Linked DNA regions of Rhinolophus ferrumequinum. The protein of the gene in region 2 interacts with the protein of the main gene of each other region in a biochemical or structural test. Links are inferred from orthologs where the notes say so. Each region holds a gene or a part of one and is shown on either strand. Other genes may lie near its edges.

Region 1 (15,873 bases), on a different chromosome or scaffold from region 2:
TTTGCAACATTTAATTCTGAGTCCTGCTCATTGTTTGTTAGACAACACACGCCCATCTCCTTCCACGTTAAATAATCTTTCAAGTCAGTTCTATTAATACTTGAGAGGATTTACAGACTTAAACTGTACTTTCTGCAAAGATACATACAACATTAAGGAAAATTGCTGCTCTCTGGGGGAAATAATATTATTTAGCATTAGAAATTCATGCTTAGGAAATTCACCTCAGGAAACTATGAATTTAAGAAAAACACTCCAGATGACGTCATAGGAACAGTGGGGCGCACTTTCTGAGTTCTCCTCCGGATCTTATTACAAACGGGACCTATAACCCATCAAAGAACTCTTTGCTCATCACACCGAACAGCTAAGAGACTCGGGGAAGGATTACTTGAAGGTGCGCTCATTGGGAGAGCAGGGGAAGGAAGGAAGGTAGCGGAGTGAAAACGCGTGGGCCCGAGGCGGGGTCCCAGCCGGTGGCGGTGGTGGTGGCGGCGGCGGCGGCGGCGGCGAAAACTGCGGTGGCACCCGCAGTTCCCGGCACGCATGGGATCCCAGGGCGGAACGGAGAGCACAGAGACCAGGAGGTGGGCTCTTTCCCTGCGTCCCATGGCTGATCTCTCCCGCCAGGAGGGCGGCTAGTGGGCCCTAGGGCGGACAAAGAACACAGACTCCATACCTGGGCCCCTTCCCTCCCCCCCTTCCATTCCTACTCCCGCCCTTCCAGAGACATAAACTGGCCCCTGAACTGAGGAGTAGTGTCAGATTATAGAGGAGCCATAGTGCTCAGTCTCTGGGAAGACTGACAGGCAGTTCTGACCCAGGGAAGAGGCTGGGAAGAGTGTGATTTTGGCTGGGCTAGGAGAGAAGAGACTTCTCCACCCCCAGCCCCCACCCTTTCTGGCCTGCCTAGGGCGGGGCAAGTGCAACTGCTGAGGCACTCCCAGGGATCAGCAGTAAGTGGCAGACGCAGCTCTGGGCTTTCAGCAGCTCAGAAATCTCCCGCCCGCACACCCCCATACACACACACACTGAAGAAGTGCCCTAAGACTCAGGAGTACTGGACACGGGGCTGGTGGTGCTACTCTCAGTGTGCATATGTGCAGGCAAGGGCAGAAGCTGCACTGACTTTGTAAAAACTATCATCCAGACCCCTCAGGCCCACGCATTTAAATCTACAGTCCCAAAGTGACTCTGGGCACAAGGTGACCGGCTCTGCCTGCGCAATAAGCAGGGGGCTCTTTGGTACAGCAGAGGACAACCTGGACATTACTTGGTGGGCTTAAGCCAAGACTGGCGCTGCTTTTTGTTTTGCTTTGTTTTGTTTTGTTTTGCTTTGACTTTATATCGTTGATATCTTTGCCTGTGTCGAGTGGGGGTTATCGGGTGTTTTTACATGTGAATGTATTTGATTTGTTGCTTTGTTGTTCTTGTTGTGCTTGGTGATTTGCTTTGTTCTGAAACTGCCCTACCAGGGCCCAGCTTAAGAGGCACAAAATTCAACATATCCAGAGGCCAACTCCAGACCAAACCAGAGTACTACCGGGTTTGACCTACAAGTCACACACCCAGAGAGAATTCTCTGCAGGCACTAGAGCCCATAGAGGCCAAACCACATGTAAGTGGTCAACCCTCATGCAGCAGAAAGCCCTGCGGTGGGCAGAGCCAAGTCTCACAATGAGTCAGCCTAGGAGTTAACCCCACCTACTCACAAGCAAAAAGCAATTAAAGATCTTCTTGAACAGGACAATATACACAACACAAGAGTCACCTTTGGAGCACACGCAGAGGAGAAGAACGAAGTAGTGCAAGTCAAATATAAAGGACACATACTACATAAGATAACCTAGCAAGAAATAAGAACTCTAGGGGATCTACCTAATACATCGAAACAAACACAGAGAGTCAGCCAAAATGGGGAAACAAAGATACACGTCCCAAATAAAAGAATAGAAGAAACCTCCACAACTGGAACCAAATGAAGCAGAGGTAACCAACCTTTCAGAGACAGAGTTCAGAACACTGGTGATAAGAATGTTTAAGGAGCTTAGAGAAGACATAAAGAAGGATGTAGAAATCATAACGAACAACCAGTTAGAACTAAAGAACACAATTACCGAAATTAAGAGCTCACTTGAAGGAATTACCAGCAGGTTAGATGAAGCAGAGGATCGAATCAGCGACTTAGAAGACAAGGTAGCAGAGATCACCCAAACGGAACAACAGAAAGATAAAAGAATAAAAGACAATGAGAATGGCTTAAGAGACCTCTGAGATAACATCTAGTGCAACAACATGCGCATCATAGGAATACCAGAAGGTGAAGAGAGGAAGCAAGGGATTGAGAACATATTTGAAATAATAATGTCCAAAAACTTCCCCAACCTGATGAAGGAAACCAACATACAAGCCCAGGAATTGCAGAGAGTTCCAACTCTCTGTTTGGGATAAACCCAAACAGGTCCACACCAAGATACATTATAGTTAAAATGGCAAAGCTTAAAGACAAAGAGAGAATCCTAAAAGCAGCAAGAGAAAGACAAGGGTTACATACAAGGGAACTCCTATAAGACTATCAAATGACTTTTCTAGAGAAACATTGAAGGCCAGGAGGGAGTGGCAGGAGATACACAAAGCGATGGAAAACAAAGGCCTACAACCTAGATTGCTTTATCCAGCAAGGCTATCATTTAAAGTTGATGGAGAGATAAAGAGCTTTCCAGAAAAAAATAAGCTAAAGGAATTTATTACCACCAAGCAAGCATTGCAAGAAATACTAAAAGGACTTCTCTAAATAGAAGAAAGATCAAAACAATCTAACTACAAATTTAAAAATGGCAATAACTATGTACCTATCAATAATCACTTTAAATGTAAATGGATTAAATGTTCCAATCAAGAGACATAGGGTGGCTGACTGGATAAGAAAGCAAGACCCTTGTATATGCTGTATACAAGAGACTCACCTCAGAACAAAAGACACACACAGGCTGAAAGTGAAGGGTTGGAGTAAGATATTTCATGTAAATGGAAACGAGAAAAAAGCTGGAGTTGCAATATTTATATCTGACAAAATAGACTTTAAAATGAACATATTAAAAGATAAAGATGGGCACTATATAATAATAAAGGGATAGATCCGACAAGAGGACATAACTCTAGTAAATATCTATGCACCCAACATAGGAGCACCTAAATATATAAAACAGGTACTGACTGACATAAAGACAGAGATCAACAGTAACACTATCATAGTAGGGGACTTCAACACACCTCTGACAACAAGGGACAGGTCTTCCAGACAGAAAATCAATATGGAAACAACAGCCTTAAATGATACATTGCACCACTTGGATTTATTCGATATTTTCAGAGCATTTCACCCCAATGCTGCAAAATACACGTTTTTCTCAAGCGCACATGGACCATCTTCTAAGATAGACCATATGTTAGGCCACAAAACAAGTCTTGATAAATTTAAGAAAATTGAAATCATACCAATTGTCTTCTCTGATCACAGTGCTATGAAATTAGAAATGAACTACAGGAAAAAAACTGGAAGACACACCAATTCCTGGAGGCTGAATAACTTATTACTAAATAATGAATGGGTCAAGCAGGAAATCAAGGAAGAAATCAAAAGATATCTCGAGACAAACAAAAATGAAAACACGACGACCCAAAATCTATGGGATGCCGCGAAAGCAGTCCTAAGAGGGAAATTCATAGCTTTGCAGGCCTACCTAAAAAAAAAGAAACATCACTAATCAACAGTTTATCTTCACACTTAAGGGATCTGGAAAAAGAACAGCAAAATAAGCCCAAAGGGAGCACAAGGAAGGAGATAATAAAGATCAGAGCAGAAATAAATGAAATAGAAACCAGAAAAACTATACAAAAGATCAATGAATCCAAGAGTTGGTTCTTAGAGAAGATAAACAAAATTGACAAACCTTTAGCCAGACTCATTGAAAAAAAGAGAGAGAGGACCCAAATTAATAAAATCAGAAATGAAAGAGGAGAAGTGACAACAGACACCGCAGAAATACAAAAAGTTTTAAGAAGTTACTATGAGCAACTATATGCCAACAAATTTGACAATCTGGAAGAAATGGACAATTTTCTAGAGGCGTACAACCTTCCAAGGCTAACTCAAGAAGAAACAGAAAACCTGAATACACTGATTACCACCACGGAAATTGAATCAGTAATCAACAATCTCCCAACAAACGAAAGCCCTGGACCAGATGGCTTTACAGTTGAATTTTACAAAACGTTCAAAAAAGAATTATCACCGATTCTCCTCAAGCTCTTCCAAAAAATCCAGGAGGACGGAAGACTCCCAAACACTTTTTACGAATCCACTATCACACTGATCCCAAAATCAGACAAAGACACCACAAAAAAAGAAAACTACAGGCCGATATCTCTAATGAACATAGATGCAAAAATCCTCAACAAAATATTAGCGAACAGAATTCAGCAATACATTAAAAAGATCATACACCATGATCAAGTGGGATTCATCCCTGGTATGCAAGGGTGTTTCAACATCCGCAAATCAATTAATGTGATACACCACATTAACAAAATGAAAAATAAAAATCACATGATCATATCAATAGATGCAGAAAAAGCATTTGATAAAATCCAACAGCCATTTATGATAAAAACACTTAAGAAAGAGGGAATAGAGGGATCATATCTCAACATAATAAAGGCCATATATGACAAACCCACAGCTAACATCATACTCAATGGGGAAAAGCTCAAACCATTCCCCCTAAGATAAGGAACAAGGCAAGGTTGCCCACTATCTCCGCTTCTATTCAACATAGTGCTGGAAGTTCTAGCCACAGCAATCAGACAAGAAAAAGAAATAAAGGGCATCCAAATTGGTAAGGAGGAAGTAAAATTATCATTATATGCAGATGATATGATACTATATATAGAGAACCCTAAAGACTCCACCAAGAAGCTATTAGAGCTGATAGATGAATTTAGTAAAGTAGCAGGATACAAAATTAATATTCAGAAATCAGTTGCATTTGTATATACCAATAATAAAACATCAGAAGGAGAAATTAAAAAAACAATCCCATTTACAATCGCTCCAAAGACTATAAAATACCTGGGAATAAATTTAACCAAAGAAGTAAAAGATCTGTACTCAGAAAATTATAAGACACTGAAGAAAGGAATGAAAGAAGATATAAATAGATGGAAACACATATCATGTTCATGGATAGGAAGAATTAATATAGTTAAAATGTCCATACTGCCTAAGGCAATATACATATTCAATGCAATTCCTATCAAACTGCCAACGTCGTTTTTCACAGAAATAGAACATATAATCCTAAAATTTATATGGGACCATAAAAGACCCCGAATAGCAAAGGCAATCTTGAGAAATAAGAACAAAGTGGGAGGTATAACAATACCTGACTTCAAATTATACTACAAGGCTACAGTAATCAAAACAGCGTGGTACTGGCATAAAAACAGACACATAGATCAATGGAACAGAATAGAGAGTTCAGAAATAAATCCACGCCTATATGGCCATTTAATCTACGACAATGGAAGCAAGAATGTACGATGGAGTAAAGACAGTATATTCAATAAATTGTGCTGGGAAACCTGGACAGACACATGCAAATAACACATGGACCACCTCCTTACACCATATACAAAAATAAATTCAAAATGGCTTAAAGACTTAAATGTAAGATCTGAAACCATAAAATACCTAGAAGAAAATATAGGAAGAAACTTCACAGACATTACCCGGAGTAAGATTTTTACTGATATATCCCCTCGCTCGAGGGAAGTAAAAGAAAAAATAAACATGTGGGATTATATCAAACTAAAAAGTTTTTTCACAGCAAAGGAAACCATCAATAAAACAAAAAGGGATCCTACTGAATGGGAAAAGATATTTGCCAATGATATATCTAACAAGGGATTAATATCACAAATCTATAAAAAACTCACTCAACTCAACTCCAAAAAAACAAACAACCCAATTAAAAAATGGGCAGAGGACTTGAAGAGACACTTTTCTAAAAAGGACATACAAATGGCAAACAGACATATGAAGAATTGCTCAACCTCACTACCCATCAGAGAAATGAAATAAAAATCACAATGAGATACCACCTCACCCCAGTCAAAATGGCTATCATCAATAAATCAACAAACAACAAGTGCTGGCACGGATGTGGAGAAAAGGGAACGCTTGTGCACTCTTGGTGGGATTGCAGATTGGTGCAGCCAGTATGGAAAACAGTATGGAGGTATCTCAAAAATCTGAAAATGGAACTACCCTATGATGCAGTACTTCCACTCCTAGGTATCTATCCGGAGATATCCAAAACTCCAATTCAAAAATCTTTATGCACTCCTATGTTTATTGCAGCACTATACACAATAGCCAAGACATGGAAACAACCAAAATGCCCATCGACAGATGACTGGATTAAGAAACTGTGGTACATTTATACAATGGAGTACTACGCAGCCATAAAGAAGAAAGAAATCTTACCATTTGCAACAACATGGATGGACCTAGAGAACATATGTTAAGTGAAATAAGTCAGACAGAGAAAGATAAGTACCATATGATCTCACTTATACGTGGAATCTAAAGAAAAGAATAAGTGAATGAACTAATCAGAAACAGTTTTGGAGACAAAGAGGAAAAACTGAGGGTTGCTAGATGGGTGGGGTGGTGTGGGTAAAGGGGAAGGTGAGGGGATTAGAAAACAGTCAGTAACCACAAGATGGTCACGGGGTTTTGAAATTAATCTGGGGAACGTAATCAATAATGTTGTAAAGATTTTGTAGGGTATCCGATAGACATGTGTCCCATTTGGGAGACCATCTCAGAGAAGATGTAGATGCCTGATCACTGCACTGTACACCTGAAGCTGAACAATAATGAATGCCAACTATAATATTATATATATATATGTGTGTGTATATATATATGTATATATAGGTATGTAAACATTTACAAGAGGCAGAGTACAGCATTGGGAGTGGAGATAGTGGAAATGGGATGGCTCGGTGCGATGTCAGAGAGATAGTGGATGGGGGAGGGGGGGTCCACAGTGTGAGGGATATGATAAACATCTAAGAAAAACTAAAAAACAAAAAAAAACTCATAGACACAGACAACAGTTTAGTGGTTACCAGAGGGTAAGGGGGGTGGAGGGTGGGAGATGAGGGTAAGGAGGATCAAATATATGGTGATAGAAGGAGAACTGACTCTGGGTGGTGAACACACAATGTAATTTATAGATGATGTCATACAGAATTGTACACCTGAAATCTATGTAATTTCGCTGGCAATTGTCACCCCAATAAATTAAAAAAATAAATTAAAAAATATATATATGTATATAAAAAAAAAGAAAAGAAAAACACCCCTTCGCTCCTTAATGTTCTTATGACCCTGTATTTGTATATCAATTTTTCTTACTTCCATTTTTTGTTGAAAGCAGTCTATAATTTTTCTTTCATTACTATATGGGGTGTAATCTTTATATCAGAGAAAAACATTCAGGGTTTAATAGCAATAACCACAAAAATTTGTCTAGGTTTTCTGCTTTTTAAAACATTACCTCCTGAAACAAACAAACAAAAATAAATAAAGAATAATTTGTCTTGGTAAATGGGAGCTGTTTAGATGAGAAAACTGGACAGATCAGGTAATTATCATCAAGGTTCTAGTTTTTCTCTTGGGGTTGGTGTGGGGACAGAGTCCCAGAGAGCAGTTTCCAGGCTCTCGGCCTCATGTGGAAAGGTGCTCATTCGAGTAGTGCAGTAATTCCAGGCTATCAACTGTGATTGGATGGCGATCAGCTGTGGCTAGTTGGCCGTCAGCTGTAACCAGTGAGCCATTGGCCACTAATATAACTGCCGAGGCTATGCTAGCAGAAAATAGTGGCTGGCAAGGGTGGAGTGTGGATTGAGGATTGCAGAGAGGCGGACTGCAGTTATCAAGTGAGGTGTGTCATTGGGCAGAGACAAGTGGACAGCGGGTTTCGAATGGTGTGGCTCCTGCTTCCTGTGCCTCCAACCCAGCCGCCAGTGAAACTATAGTGGTATGACTCCCATATCTATGGCTCTGTGGGTGTTCCTTTTTGGCCTCACCAATATCCTGCATTCTTATGCAGGGAGCGGAACTAGAGACCCTGCCTGACGATGCCCTGCATGACAGTTGGTTTGAAAACAATTTTGATATATTGTCAGTAAGATGAAGTGAGTGAGCAATGACGCTGAAGCTTTTTTATGGTTTTATATTCTTTCTGGATAAACCCTTTCTTTGTCAAGAAAGGATCATGGATTGTGGAAATTGTTTTACCTTGACGTCATACACAGCCTTGGTGCCCTCTTCGTTTTCTGCGGTTTGGTGAATATTTGCATTATATCCTTCAGCCCTAGGCAGGGGCAGAAATTGCTTCCACATGGATGGCCTGGAGAAATATTTCTGAATGCATTCTTGGTTGTCTTGGGAAAGCCTGGGCATGTTTTTACAATAAAGGCTCCAAATGAATTCTGTAGCCTGATTTTAACAACACCAGTCCAGAGTCCACCCTATTTCTTTTCTTTTGGCTGATGCTGAGCCATCTCTCAGTCTGCTGGGGGGCTCCCTGGAAAGTGACACTAATCAAAGCAAAAGGATTATCTGTTTTGTGGATCAGCAGCTTATCCACAGATCTTTAATGTTCTGTTCCAGGTGGAGCCTCTTATTTTGAATGCCTACTTATGTTATGACTGCCCTCTACAGGTAGCAATGTATTCCTAATTAAAATTTAATCCTAAATCAAAACTGAAAAAAATGATTCAAGCAATATGTTACTTAATATATACTGATAAATATGAAATAGTGCCATTTGTGACAACATGGGTGGATTTTGAGATTATTATGCTAAGTGAAATAAGTCAGACAGAAAAAGTTGAGGACTGTATGATTTCACGGATATGTGGTATATAAACCTGAAAACAACAAAAGAACAAGACAAACAAAGGAAGAAACAAAAACTCATAGACACAGACAATAGTTTAGTGGTTACCAGAGGGTAAGGGGGAAGGGCGGTAATAAATGAGGGTAAAAGGGATCAAATATATGGTGATGGAAGGAGAACTGACTCTGGGTGCTGAACACACAATGTGATATATAGATGATGTATTACAGAATTATACACCTGAAACCTATGTAACTTTACTAACTGTCATGCAGGGTGTCATGCGGGATCTCTGGTTCCGCTCCCCATATAAGAACGTAGGACTTGGTGAGGCCAAAAAGGAACACCCATGGAGCCATAGATAGGGGAGTCATACCACTATAGTCTCACTGGTGGCTGGGTTGGAGACACAGAAAGCAGGAGCCACATGATCCGAAATCCACACTCCACCACTTGCCAGCTTAGCCATGGCAGTTATATCAGTGGCTAATGGCTAACCAGTAACAGCTGATGACCAAATAGTCACACCTGATGACCATCTACTACCTGAGCCAGCACCTTTCTATGTGAAGCCGAGAGCCTGGAAAGTACTCTCTGGGGCTCTGTCTCCACACTAACCATTGTCACCCCAATAAACTAATTTAAAAAAATGAAAATGGATTACTTGACAGTCCTGTGCTTTGCAATTGAAAGGCAAATGGTTCACCTAATATATTTAGGTTTTTTAAAATATCATTTTAGTAGCAGCAGTCAGCTTTGTGGATAGAAATGTATGCTAAACTCATATGCAAACTCAAGGTTAAGGATTATCACTCTTTATATTTATGTCATGTAGAATTAGTTAAAATGATTTTCTTATGAGGCAGCTAGTCATCTAATGATTAAGCCAAGAATTTGGCTTCATACTTTATAAATATTTCATATTTATAAATACTTTATATTTATAAAGTACTTTATAAATATTTCATATTTATAAATACTTTATATTTATAAAGTACTTTATAAAAATAAGATTTTAAACAAAGTGAGTACAAAAAGGTAGAACATAATACCTTTCTTTAAAGAAGTTATCTAATGTCTGAGTTGTCTCTGCTGGGTCTGGGGGCACAGAGGTAAGGGCCTCAGGTGTGTATTACTGGGGACTATGAACTGGAGAAATTTCCTTTTGTAAAATGATCCCAGGAGCTCAAAATTGATCTGTAAAACAAACAATCTCTATCAACATCCAGCTCCCTTTTTTCCAAAAATTGACAAGTTGATTCTAAAATTTGAGATTATAAGGGACACAGAATATCCAAAACAATCCCAAAAAAGAAAAACAAATTTGGAGGATTCACACCTTCAATTTTAAAACTTAATACAAAGCTACAGTAATTAAGACTATGGTTCTGGCATAAGAATAGATACATAGATCAATGAAATAGAATTGAGAGTCCAGGAACAAACTCATACATTTATGGTCAGTTGATTTTCAAAAAGGTGCAAAAACAATTCAATGGGGAAAGAACTGTTTTTTCAAGAAATGATGCAGGAACAACTAGATAGTCGTAGGCATAAAAATTAAGTCGAACCTCTACCTCAAATCACATAAAAAAATTAACTCATAATTAATCATAGACTTAAATGTAAAAGCTGAAACTATTATACTCTTTGAAGATAACATAGGGATAAATCTTTGTAACGTTGGATTAGGCAAAGCTTTCTTAGATACAACACAAAAAGCACAAGTGATAAAAGAAAAAAATAGGCAAGTGGAACTTCACCAAAATTAAAAAATTTTGTTCTTTAAAGGACATCATCAAGTAAGTAAATATAAACCCACAAAATAGAAGAAAGTATTGAAAGTCGTAGCTGTGTAATAAGAAACTTGCATCTAGAATATTCAAATGCTCTCACAACTAACAACAACAAAAACCCCCAAACAAGTGAAAATGGGTGTTGTATCTAAACAGGCTTTTTTCCAAAGAAGATATACAAATCACCAATAAGCACATGAAAAGATGCTCAACATCATTAGTCATTAGGGAAAGGCAAATGAAAATCACAGTGAGATACCATTTCACATCCAATAAGTTGGCTCTAATCAAAAAGACAATAACAACTGTTAGTGAGTATGTGGAGAAATTGGAACTCTCATACATTGTTTATGAGAATATAAAATGTTGTAATCAGTTTGGAAAACAGTTTGGCACTTCTTCAAAATGTTCACCATAGAGCTACCTTATGATCAAGCAATTCCCTCCTAGATATCTACTGAAACAAATGAAGTGAAATATATGTTCACACAAAGACTTATACACAAATGTCCAATAACTGGAAAAAACCCACTTTCCCATCGACTGATGAATAGACAAAATGAGGTGTATCCATACAATGGAATGTTATTCTGCAATAAAAAGGAATGAAGTGCTACAACATGCTACAACATGGATGAAATTTGAAAACATTGTGCTGGGTGAGAGAAACCTGTCACAAAAGATCACATGTATGATTCTACTTATAAGAAAATGCCCAGGATAGGCAAATCTTTAGATACAGGAAGTAAATTAGTGGTTGCCTAGGGCAGGAGGGTTTGGGGAGAGATGGAGAGTGACGACTAATGAGTAAGAGGTTTCTTTTTGGGGTGATAAAAATGTTATAAAACTGATTGCAATGAGGGTTGCACAACCCTGTGAATATGCTAAAAATCAATAAACAGTACATGTTAAATGGGTGCATCATATAATATGTGAATTATATCTCAATAATGCTGCTAAAGTTTTTATTTAAAAAAGATAGGAAACTTTCTCAAGTGCCCAAATGTTTCAGAGTAGGGGCAAGAAATATCTTAACAGTTAAAAAAAATGTTTCTCAGGGACACTTAAGTGAAGATATGGTTGAACTATCACTGGTCTGAGGGTCTAGAAACCTGGTATTTGTTTCTGGACTCTTAGAATGAAAACAGAACAGGTGGTATTAATAGTCTCAAATTGACATGTGCAATCTTTGGAGCTGGAAAGGACTATCAAGATCATCTTGTCCTCCTGCCCATTTTGTCTTCTTCATTTTGTGGATGGGGAACTTACATGAGATATTAGGTGATATGTCCAAGGACTACATATAATACTGTAGCTGGGACCAGCCTCCACATCTCCATACACTAGGGACAGAGCACAGTGTTCTGTGCCACTCTGCAAACCAAATTGTTTGTATTTCTCTTTTTCTTTAAGAATATCACAGGTCCACCAGAATTTTTTTCCTCTTGCTCCCACTTTCACTTTTGCACATCTATTCTGGGGTTAAACCTTGGAAGAAACATTTTATTTGGATATTTGTTATCTCTAGCACTTTCCTCATACTTGTAATGATTCTCTATTTTGGAAACTTCTTTCTACTCAGCAACTATTTCTATGAAAATTCTTTCATCTTTAATTTGCTTTAATAAAATGTTGCATACTCAGTGTTTGTTAGATTCTAGTAAACATATTTTTTCATATTTGAGGTGTGTGTGTATGCATATAATGGCACAATACCATTGACTGGCCTTTCCTGGCATTCTGTGCCGAAAAAGTTTCCTGGAAATTGCAGTAAGAGGAGTTTGCATGAGAAAAGAATTTTACAATTTATTGAAAGTTGAGTAAAATACTTGTTGACAAATACATATATTTATTCTACATTATCCTAAGTTAAAGGACATTTCTTAAAGTGTCAGTGTAACTAACAGGCAGAGCTGGGAGAATTGTGTCTAAGAAGCACAAACATCTCAGAGTGTGATGAGAGGAGGAAGGTTAATGGACAATTAATAAAACTCTGACTTTGTTACTAACTCATAACAGTGATGGAAAACAAATGGATTGAAAACCAATTGAGTAAAGTATTAACGGAGTTGAACTATCAGAGAACCCTAAGCCTGGCAAAGCCCACCCAACACTCTTTCCTTAGGTAAAGGAAACTGAAGATATGCAGATCCAGAGAGGAAAATCCTTACAGAGGCTCATCTCAGACAGTTATGGAAGACCAAGACTAGGGAGGGTTTCAGACTGCACAATTAGTCATAGCTCAGACTGTGGATCAAGTCATTTGCTTTATTGATAGAATAGCCTGTCTTTGCTGTATATCATGAATCCAGTTACCTTGTTTTCCTCCATCACTGTGTATCGAAAGTGGTGTAGAAGCATCACTTAACCATGGATTGACAGCCTTAAGGACCCACACATACACCAGACCAAAAAGACTGCAAGTCACCAAACGATCCTTGACTTTCATCCAGATGCAGTAAGTAGAAAAGATTCTGGGTTGTCTTTTTTTAGAATGAGTGAGTACATCTTAAATCTCATGTGGGATATGTTAAGTGGGAGCATTTCTGAAAGTGTATATATGGAAAAAAAGGGAGGTATGCCTCTGTGTGTGTGTGTGTGTGTGTGTGTGTGTGTGTGTGTATGCTGGTCTGTCAAGAATGTAGTGGACTTCCCGCCCCCCACCATTTATGTACTCTTTTTCTAATAGTAGCACTCTGGTTTTCTTTGGGGAAATACATCTATCCCATTCTCAGGCCGTGTTATTTGGATATAGCTGACTCTGCATCCAGCTCCATGTCTGTCAATACAACCCAGACCTGGTCAATTAGTGCATTCCATCCCTCTGCCCACAGTGACTATTCAAGGTCAAGCATGTGACCTGCCCAATGAGAGTCAGCCCTAGGACTTCTGCTAAACAATTAGAAAAGCAGTGCTTGTTTTCCATGGTTACTAATTAGCAGAATATAAGTCTGGTGCCATTGGTGTATATATCTTTGCCAATACTTGGATATAGAGCTTGCCTAATAATAAAATCAGTTCATTGAGAACCAGAGTAGAAAGTCATGCAGAGAGAAAAATAGATTCCTCACATCATTTGAGCAAGTCACTCAATATACCTGAATATCTACTCTTACACTTTTCATTTACATGATCCAATAACTTCCTTAAAAATAAAAAAATATTATTTTGAGAATATTATTACTATTGCTTAAGCTAGCTTTATCTGTTTCCTTTCACTTGCAGCGTATATACAGGGCTTATTGTAGTGCCCAGCACATAATAAACTCTTGCTAAATGCTAGATATTATTTTATTTTGGTAACTGCATTAGTTACCTATTGCTGCATGACAAGTACCCCAAAACTTAGTGGATTAAGATAACATTTATCCTCTGACAGAAATAGTAATCAGCCGCAATGTACCAGTGTCTACAACCCCTGGTTCAGTGTCTCTCGTGAGGCTGCAATCAAGGTGTCAGCTAGGGCTGCAGTCTTCTCAAGTCTCCAATGGGGAAGGATCCACTTCAAGGCTTACTCCAGAGTTAATAGGATTTAGTTCCTCAAAGGCTAGTGGGCTAAGGGCATCAATTCTTTGCTGATTGTTCACTGGAGGCTGCCTTCGTCTCCTGTTACATGGCCTCTCCATGGGGCAGCTCACAACTTGGCAGCTTGATTCACCAGAGTAAATAAGTGAGAAGAACTTGAGAGAATGCAAGCAAGACAGAAGTCACAGTCTTCCATAATCTGATCTTGGAAGTGACATCCCTTACTTTTGCTGCACGCTATTCTTTAGAAAAAAAGTAGGTATAACCCACACACAAGGAGAATGAATTACAGAAGGGTATGCATCATATGAATCATTTCGAGGTGGGGATCATTAACAGTGATTTTAGAAGCTGCCTACCACAATGACCATATTTTTTAAATTTAAAATTGCAGAGATTGTCCTTCTGAGGTCAATGTTGCAGTATAATAAAATTAACCTACCTGGAAAATCTTGAAGCTTGGTTGCCATAAGAATTTGGGGCACTGATACAGTGCATAAGCAAAATCTTGTGTGATCAATTAGACCTGCTTTGGCAATACCAATGCAATCAGAGGCTGCTAGGGTAGTTGGTTAGGGTATTTTGCAAAGGGGTCATGGTGTCAATACTCAGTTACTGCTGGGCCAAAGTAAGTCAGCTTCTTGCAAATGCCTATTGTATGAAAAAGAATGGAAGAACTATTCTTACACTAATGATTTATTCAGCAAGGTGCAAAAATTTCTCAAAGTCCTTGTTCAATTGAAGGCAGGCTGGAAACATAATCTTCACTAGGAGATAGTAAGATTTTCATGATAAATTATCTTTTAGAACAGGATTTCTGTCATGCAGGGTGACAGGAGGGGTCTCTGGTCCTGCTCCCCGCATACGAACATGGTGAGGCCAAAAAGGAACGTCCACGGAGCCATAGTGTGGGGACAAAGCCAGGAGTGCAGTTTCCAGGCTCTTGGCCTCACATGGAAAGGTGCTGGCTCAGGTAGTAAATGGCCATCAACTGTGATTGGATGGCCATCAGCTGTGGCTAGTTGACTGTCACCTGTAACCAGTGAGCCATTGGCCACTAATATAACTGTCGTGGCTATGCTAGCAGAAAATGGGACCTAGCAAGGAAATGGTGGCTGAGCTAGCAAGAGCGGATTGCAGCTAGCAAGTGGGGTTGGTTGGTTGGCAGAAAAGCAGATGGCAGGTTGCGGATAGTGTGGCTCCTGCTTTCTGTGTCTCCAACCCAGCCGCCAGCGAGACTAGTGGTCTGACTCCCCTATCTGTGGCTCTGTGGGTGTTCCTTTTTGGCCTCACCATATCCTATGTTCTTATGTGGGGAGCAGGAGCTGAGACCCTGCATGAAATCCTGCATGACACGTTGATAGGGGAGTCATACCACTATAGTCTCGCTGGTGGCTGGGTTGGAAACACAGAAAGCAGAAGCCACATGATCCGCAACCCGCCGTCCGCTTCTCTGCCAACCAACTAACCCCTTGCTAACTGCAATCCGCTGAGCTAACTGCAATCTGCGCTTGCCAGCCACCATCTTCTTGCTAGCCCCCATTTGTTGCTAGCATAGCCACAACAGTTATATTAGT
Region 2 (7,918 bases):
TGGGGGGTCTTGACTCAGGTCTTCTGATGTCTCACCTGGAGCTCTGCTCTAGCCCCTTCCTACCCTGTGGGGAGCTGGGCCCTCCCAGCCCCTCTCCAATCTGCACGAACTATGTCAGGCCACCATTCTGGGCTCCTGCCTGGGGCTGATACAGCATCTGCCCCGATGCTTGTCCCTTTCCCTTCATCCTCCTTCCTGCCAACCATGGCACTTGCAGGCCTGCCTCTGAGGGGCTTGGTCACCCCAGGTCTCCTGCCTGAGGGCTGGCGGGGAGCAGTGTGCTAATCTGCCTCCTCCAGAGTCTCTGCAAGCCCCACCATGGTTGGCAGCAAGAACATCCTACAGCCACACAGTGTTTTAGGTCATCTGAGAGCTAGCAGGGGGCAGTACGGCTGCCTCGTCCTCATGTCCAGGGAAGAAAGACGCAGCACACTGTTATCGCGTGTGTACACAAGACAACCATGTGGCTACGATGAGGCCACACCCTGTGTCTGAGGCCAGCCTTCCCTGCCATTCGGGCACTCCATCCCACCAGCCTCTCTGCAGGGGCCCTGGGCAGCCTTGCCAAGTCCACTTGGTCACTGAGAGTTCCTGGAATTGCCCTAGAAGCTCCTGAGATCCAGACCAAGGCACTTTGCCTCCTGAGACTCCAGAAAACAGAAAAGCTGGGGCAGAAGGAGGAATGCATTCTCTGTCCCACCTAAAATGCCATGGCAAGCCCCCCAGAATGGGGCGGGCCACAAGAATGGAGTGAAGCACCCCCATGAGGGCAAGCAGGCTGCCTGCTCTCACTGCAGCAACCTGGGCCTCACCCAAAAAAAATGAGAAAGTGGGTGTGTGTTTAGGGGTGGGGCTGGGAGGGGCAAGAAACACAGATGAGTAACAAACAGCTCTTTCAGGAGAGCAAAACATCGCCAGGAGCAAGCAAGAGGAAGCAAGCAAGATTTCAGGCAGAAAGTGACACAGCCTTTTGAAGGGGAGGGACTAGGTCTTATTCACCTTCTAGCTCAGAAACCAACATTTGTTAGAGGAACACACTAGAAGAGTTTTAAACCAAATGCCAGCATCTTGTCCCTGGAACCTGAGGAACGCTGAAGGCACACCACTCCGTCTGAGCACAAGTGTGGCCAGGCCCTCCCTCGCCATCAGACCCTGCGTGGAGACTCCCAGGCGTCCACAGTTACTGCTCTCAGACATCCACGCCCCAAAGGGACAGTCAGTAGCTAAACATCATCTTCCATCCTGACTAGGAAGGGGGCCGGGTGGCCTTGCCCAAGGGACAAGGTACTTGGAAGGGCAGTCCTAGGCTGCAAGGAGCCCTCTGAGGCCCTCCAAACTCTTCCCCAGGCCCACTCCAGCTCCTGGATCCCACAGCCACTCCCTTTTACAGAGGCGGGGACTGTGGCTCCACTGAATCAGCCAGAGCGAACAAGCAACGGGGTCCTTCTGTTTCCCACAGCTCCCGCGGCCTCCATGAAGCCCCCGCCCTCCATTCCTGCCACACCTCCTATGCCTTCCGAAGCATACCCTGTGCTCTTGCCAGACCCAACTGCCCCAGCACCCTCTCTGTGCCTCGGCCCATTCTCCCCACTCTGCCCTCAATGCCCACCCCAACTGTGCCTGTGTCCTTCAAGCTCCAGTTCAAATGTCACTTTGCCCACAGGCCTGCCTGACCCCAGCCAGGACACCTCTCTGAGGTCTCCCCCGAGACCCGGCACCCACACTCAGTGTTGGGTCATAGGAGCAGACACACTGCTCCCCTGTGGGGTGGTGAGTCAGTCCCTGGAGGGCAGGCCCAGTTCACTCCTACCCCAGCACAGGCCCTGGGGGAGCAAAAGCTCAGTAAATATTTGCTTAATCGAATTTGGCCAAGGAGCCACCTCTAGACAGAGCCAAGGCGGCGGGACTCAGTCCCCAGGGCAAGGAAATCACTTGGGCAGAAAAAAGCCGGTCAGGGGCTGGGCTGCCTCCCCAAGCCAGTGTGACTTCGCCTACCAGGCGGGTTCCTCCATCCTGAGACGCCGACTCCAAGGAACCCTGGTCTGGCACTGCCTTCTCATCCTTGTAACAGAGAACCCCAGTTCTCGGCCTAGGCAGATTCCTGCCATCACCACCACAGAGGCTCCGCACCGCCCTCAAGGCAGAGCCCCCGCAGATCTCCAGCAGGATCCCGAGCCCCAGCCCCGAGGCCCTCACACCCCTCCCCCCAAACACCCCCACCGCCTTTTAAGGTAAAAAATATTGAGACGGGAACATATCACAAACGCGGTGGGTCGATACTCATCTCTTGCTCTAAATGCCTCCAAGGAACCTGCTCACTGCAAGAGCGATGACCGAAAACTGCGAGCCGTCCGTCCTCGGGCCCAGGCCTCCGGGGCCCTCTCCTCCGTTTCAGCCAAGGCCACGCGTCAGCCCTCCCACCGCCCGGGTCGCCTCCTCCCCACTTCCCCGGGAGGGAGACCCCGCCTCAGCGCCGTTCCTGCAGGTCGCCCAGCCTGACCCCGCATCAGTGGCTGGTCGGGGCCCCCTGCGCGGCATCCCCAGCCGCCGCGGTTCACCCTCCCGGGCCCGCAGCCGCCTCTCCCGCTGGCTCCTCGGCCAGGCGGCGCCCCCTCCCCAGCACCTGCTGGACCCGTGGCCACCTCCTGCCCACATCGCGGGCATCCCCGCCCTCGCTACCCCACCCCCAGCCGGCACCCCTGTCGCTGCGCCCCGGGGCCCCCAGCCCGGGCGGATCCCCAGCACAAAGGCCCGGGCGGGGCCCCGGGTGGGGGTGGGGTAGACGCCCCGGCCGCGCCCCCGACCCCCCGAGGCTCAGCCGCACGCTGCGGGCGCGGGCGTGCTCGCTTACCTCCAGGCCGAGGCACGGTGCATCGGCAGAGCTGCTCCGGGCGGGCGGGGCGGCAAGCGCGGACCGCGGCGCCCTCGTTCCGCACGACGCGGGCAGCGGCGCCCGCGCGGGGACGTGACCGGACCGCGGGCGGCGCACACGCTCCGGCCGGCCTGGCTCCCTCCGCCTGCTCTCCCGCGCCGCCCGCCGTCCGCCCGCGGGTCCGCCCGCCCCGCGCCGCAGCCGCCGGCAGGGGGCGGAGCCGCGAGCGCAGCGCGTTGCCAAGCCAACCGCGGGCGGGGGTGCCGCGAGCCCGCCGGTGACCACGCGCCGGGCGCCGTTGCCGAGCCACAAGCGCCGGCTAGCTGCCCATTGGGCAGGAGCGGCTGACGGACGCGTCCACGGTCCAATGGTGGCGGGCAGGGGCGGCACCGTGGCTCAGCGCGCGCCGCAGTCCCGCACGCGTTACCCGCTCCTGCATCCCCAGGACCCGGTTTTACCCAGGCTAGGGCGCCAACCCAGCGGGATCGCCTCCCGCAGATCCCCAGACCAAGCCTGAGAGCGGCGATGGCCCTTGCTCCCGCTCCCCTCCCCCGGCCTGAATTCGAACCCAGCTTGGCTCTTTTTTGAGCTCTGCGCCCTTAGGCAACCGACTGACCTCTCTGGGCCTGTTTTGCATCGTGGGGCTAGTGACACTTGCTTCCTTGAATTGTCGCTACGTTCCGCTAGAATGTGTGAAAGGGTTGTGCATGCAAACCCGAAAGGTTTATACTGGTAAGGTTTGTGCAGCGATGGGAGGGGCGTTAGTCATCTTTTCTCCTACACCCAGCATGTAGTGTCTCTTCAGGGTCCCTGTCAATCCTGTCCACAGAAAATTGCCCTGGAAGGGAGGGAAGGGAGTAGGGCCCAGGACTTATCCCGCAGACCAGAAAGGCAGGAGGGAGCCAGCTCAGTTAAGGCCATCGTCCCACTGGTGCCTTTGGGAAGATTAAGTAGAAGGCATGGAGTACTCAGCAAAATGCACCCGAGGGCAGTCTGCCAAATTTCTGCTTTCAGTTTCAGGGGAAGCCCATCTGTGGGCCTCAGAGCCAGGAGCCCCTCACTTAAATGCTTAAAAGATATTAATTCCTTCTCTGCCTTCTCCGTCACGGTAACCTGAACCTTTGTGCCATCCTAGAGTATCGCAGGTAAAATGCAGATGTTCCCAGCTAACACAGCCCTTATCACTTTACACCTTCAACGTCATCCTCTCTGGGAAAGTTCCCTCTGCTGTGAAATGGAGACCATTGCACCACCTAGCCGCAGGGTTGTGGCCCAGCTGTGAAGGGTTTGCCTAAACTGTCAGGGACCGGGCAGATGGTGGTGAGGGGCATCCTGAGGTGAACCTAGATCTGGCCCAGGGCTCACCGGATGTGGTCAATAAGGACCAAAGGAGCGTGGCTAGCCCTTGAGGGCTCCTCTGTGCATGTCCTCCGCAGCAAGAGGCTGGGTCAGGCTGGCCTCTGCCCACAGGACCACCCCGAGGTCAGCGGCTGTGACACCAGGAAGATAACGGGCAGAGGCCTTGCCCTGAGGTGGATCAGAGATAAGAGGGGGCTGAAGGTGAAGCACAGGCCCAGCTCTGTTGCCATTACCTGTATGCCTTTTGGTGACTTCTCCGGCTAAGCATCAGTTTCCTGTTCTGTTAAGAAGGGATACCAACTGACTGTCCCTAGAGAATGATTCTGAGGGGAGAGACACATCGGCACACATTCAAAGATGAATAAGGGCAGGATCAGGGCTCAGAGTTGAGCTGCTCACAGGGACAAAGCTAGATGCAAGCACGGGATGACCTCGTACAGCAGTCCCGCTGTGAGATCAGAGGCTAGCCTATGCAGGGGCCTCATGGGGCTGGCTCCTGCCTCCCTCGCCTGACCTTGATGGCCACCTCGAAGTGAAAGTTCCGATGCTATCAACCAATGATGGTACTCCTTCATCCAGCAGTCATTTACTGACGGCCTCCTCTGTGCCGGGCACAATTCTAGGATTTAATCAGACCTGGCCCTGTCTGCTAGACCCTCTTGTCTTTGGGGCAGCAGCAGACAGCAGAACGTAATCTGCCTTTAGGGTTGTGTGAGGCCTGATGGAGGAGACCCACCAGGGCTTTGGGGGTAAGTGGCAGGGGGAGCCCTGGGTACTAGGACAGCGGGAGAGGCATGGAAGTGGCTGATGAGTTGGGGCAGGAGAGAAGCATGTTCCAAGATGAGGAAGGCACTGGGTGTGAAGGAGCGTGAGGTCTAGGAGAACCTAGAGAAGACCAGTGTAGCTGGAGCCAGCAAGCGTGTGAGGATGCCAAAACAGAACGCTGCAGCGGAGTTGGGAACAATCACACCAGGCAGATGGCCCTTGTGCAGGATTGGGGACATTGGCCTAAGAACCACTGGAGAATTTTAAGGTTAGCTTTTTAAATTCCAAAAGGAGAAAGGTAAGTTTTTGTTTCATATGTATAGTAGGCGTATTCCTACCACGTGCATTGTCCTAATAGGCATGAAATAGGCATAGATCATGAAAACATCAACTAGTCAGCCCAGAGAAAATAAGAAAGCAGAGAAGTCAGTGTATGAGGTTGGTGTCAGTGTAGGGCCATGGGGTCACCAGGCAATTGTGTGTCAGGAGATGGCTTTATGGTGGCTGCAACCATAGAGAGAAGGAGCTGGCCTTGGCAGAGGGGGGTGACCAAGAAGGGGGCCCACACGAGATGATGGAGGAAGTGATGGCACTTGCTAAGCAGTTGGAGAGGTGGCCAGGAAACCAGGGAGGGGAGGGTCCCTGTCATGCAGGGTGTCATGCAGGGTCTCAGCTCCCGCTCCCCACTTTGGAACGCAGGATATGGTGAGGTCAAAAAGGAACACCCACAGAGCCATAGATAGGGGAGTTATACCACTATAGTCTCCCCGGCGGCTGGGTTGGAGACATAGGAAGCAGGAGCCACACTATCCGCAACCTGCCGTCCACTTCTCTGCCAACCAACCCCACTTGCTAGCTGCACTCCGCCGTGCTAACTGCAATCCGCGCTTGCTAGCTCAGCCACCATCTTCTTGCTAGCCCCCATTTGCTGCTAGCGTAGCCACGGCAGTTATATTAGTGGCCAATGGCTCACTGGTTACAGCTGACAGCCAACTAGCCACAGCTGATGGCCATCCAATCACAGTTGATGGCCATTTACTATCTGAGCCAGCACCTTTCCACGTGAGGCCGAGAGCCTGGAAACTGCTCTTGGCTCTGTTCCCACAGTCCCAGAGCTCCAGGAATGGAGTGTCTTGAAAAAGAAGACATGTTCAGCCATGTCACGTGCTATTGTGAGTGAGGCCGAGTAAGCTGAGGACAGAGAAGTGTCCTAACAAACAAAGGAAAGCACAGGTGGGGGTCTGTGTGCCAGGAGTTCAGGGAATGGGGACCACACCAGGCTAAAGCTGGATAAGTGGGTCACAATGAGGCACGGTGGGCCCAGGGTACCAGGCGAGGATGTGTGGTCCCTAGGGCTGGGGCCAGTACCCCATGCTGAGTCCTCACTGGTTGGTAGAACAGGACCAGAGACAACAGCTGGGGCTCTGCGCTAGAAAGAGGAAGCAGGCCCTGGTGATTGAGCCCACCTGGCACCTCACCAAACCAGCAGGGACAGCTGGCCAAAGAGCGACCCCTGGAAGTGGCCAAACTGCAACCACAAGGGGGTCCATGCCATGGACATCATGATCCTCCATCCCAGTGGAGCTTTCTGGTTCATCAACCACTGAACCCTTCCTGGCATACCAACCATGCCGGATCAGGACCCTTTCCAAACACCCATGCCTTGTGCCTTTGCCCTTCTGCCCCATGAGGCCCAGCTCCCCCAGGCCTCCCAGCCTGCATGTCCAGAGCCCCTAGCGCCCTGGAATTCCTCATCTACACATGTGTCGACCTGCGCTGTAATGACCAGTCCCAGATGACTCTCCACTAATCTCCCCACTTCCCAAGGGTGGGGGTGGTGGTGTCTCGTTGCCTATGGACCTCTGGCGATGGTTACCTCCTGGCTGACTGCTCTGCGCCCACCCTGTCCTGTTTCCCAATCCCTGCTGGACAGTTAGGCTGTGGGAGGGCCAGGTTTGTCTCTCCAGTTTGTTTCCTTGGGGTCTGTGTACCCCAATTCCCACACATTTGAACAAGCCATTGCAGATCTGGGTTAGTTATAAATAGCCAGGCCTGCAACTCTCCTTTTAGCTGAAAAGAAGCAAAGTGAACAAGCAGAGAGGCACACCCGGCACGCGTTTTATTTTTAATCTTCTCCTTCTGTCCCAAAAAGAACCCGGGTCCTGGTACTCAGCATTTCTCGGTGTGGAGGCCCCAGGACAAATGCCTGAGAAATGAAACCCAGGAGGATGAGGGCCCTGGTCTGGCCCCGTCTGCTGTGTGGCCTTGGGCACTTGAGTTGCCTCTCTGGGCCTTGGTTTCCTCATCAAGGGGGCAGCAGTGGCAGTGATGACGTCCAACACTGTGACTTTCTGATTTTGACACCCTCCCCATTGCTCCCGTCTCCCCGGCCTGTGCTGACCCTTTGGTCCAGCAGCAGTGGTTCTCCATGGGCTTTTTTGGGAAGGCCAGACCCAGGTGCAAGTGAGGCCACAATCAAGCCCTGATTGGATGATGCACAAATTCCTCACGCTCAGGCCTTTGCTCAGGTGTCACCAATCAGGAACCTTCCCATTCCATCAGTCAGCAAAATCCTTCTTGGAAAGTCAAATGGTCTCCTCCCCACAATGAGCTGGGGAGGGGCCACCAGGTCTTGGCTGAGAGGGACCCATGGCTGGGGCAGGCAGGGAACCTGTCGGCAGGTGCCTGCATAGGAATGAGAGCAGGCCCAGGAGGCCCAGGTGTGTGTCTGGCAGTGGTCTGGTTGGAAGGGAGACCTGATGGGGAGAAAGACTCAGGCCCCCAGGAGAGGTGGCTTGGGACCACTGATAGGTGCTTCCACAGAACATGGACTGTAGAGTTTTTGTCTTTGCATCCCACTCCTCACCCCTTACTGTCACCCCACAGGACCTTGCTTGTAGCTGGAACTGTGCTGGTGGAATT

What was found.
Region 1: the proteins of GNAZ (region 2) and RGS20 form a complex in vitro, tested with the Homo sapiens proteins (2 studies listed by BioGRID, with this or other methods). The link is inferred for Rhinolophus ferrumequinum from reciprocal best matches to the Homo sapiens genes GNAZ and RGS20.

The regions. Positions count from the first base shown.
Region 1 is NC_046297.1:24,424,120-24,439,992, forward strand, and holds the start of RGS20 (regulator of G-protein signaling 20), read right to left. Parts: upstream 8,537-15,873; coding exon 8,378-8,536; intron 1-8,377. UniProt on the Homo sapiens protein: Inhibits signal transduction by increasing the GTPase activity of G protein alpha subunits thereby driving them into their inactive GDP-bound form.
Region 2 is NC_046308.1:21,775,740-21,783,657, reverse strand, and holds the start of GNAZ (guanine nucleotide-binding protein G(z) subunit alpha), read right to left. Parts: upstream 3,001-7,918; 5' UTR 2,852-3,000; intron 2,137-2,851; exon of another isoform or gene 1,996-2,136; intron 1-1,995. UniProt on the Homo sapiens protein: Guanine nucleotide-binding proteins (G proteins) are involved as modulators or transducers in various transmembrane signaling systems.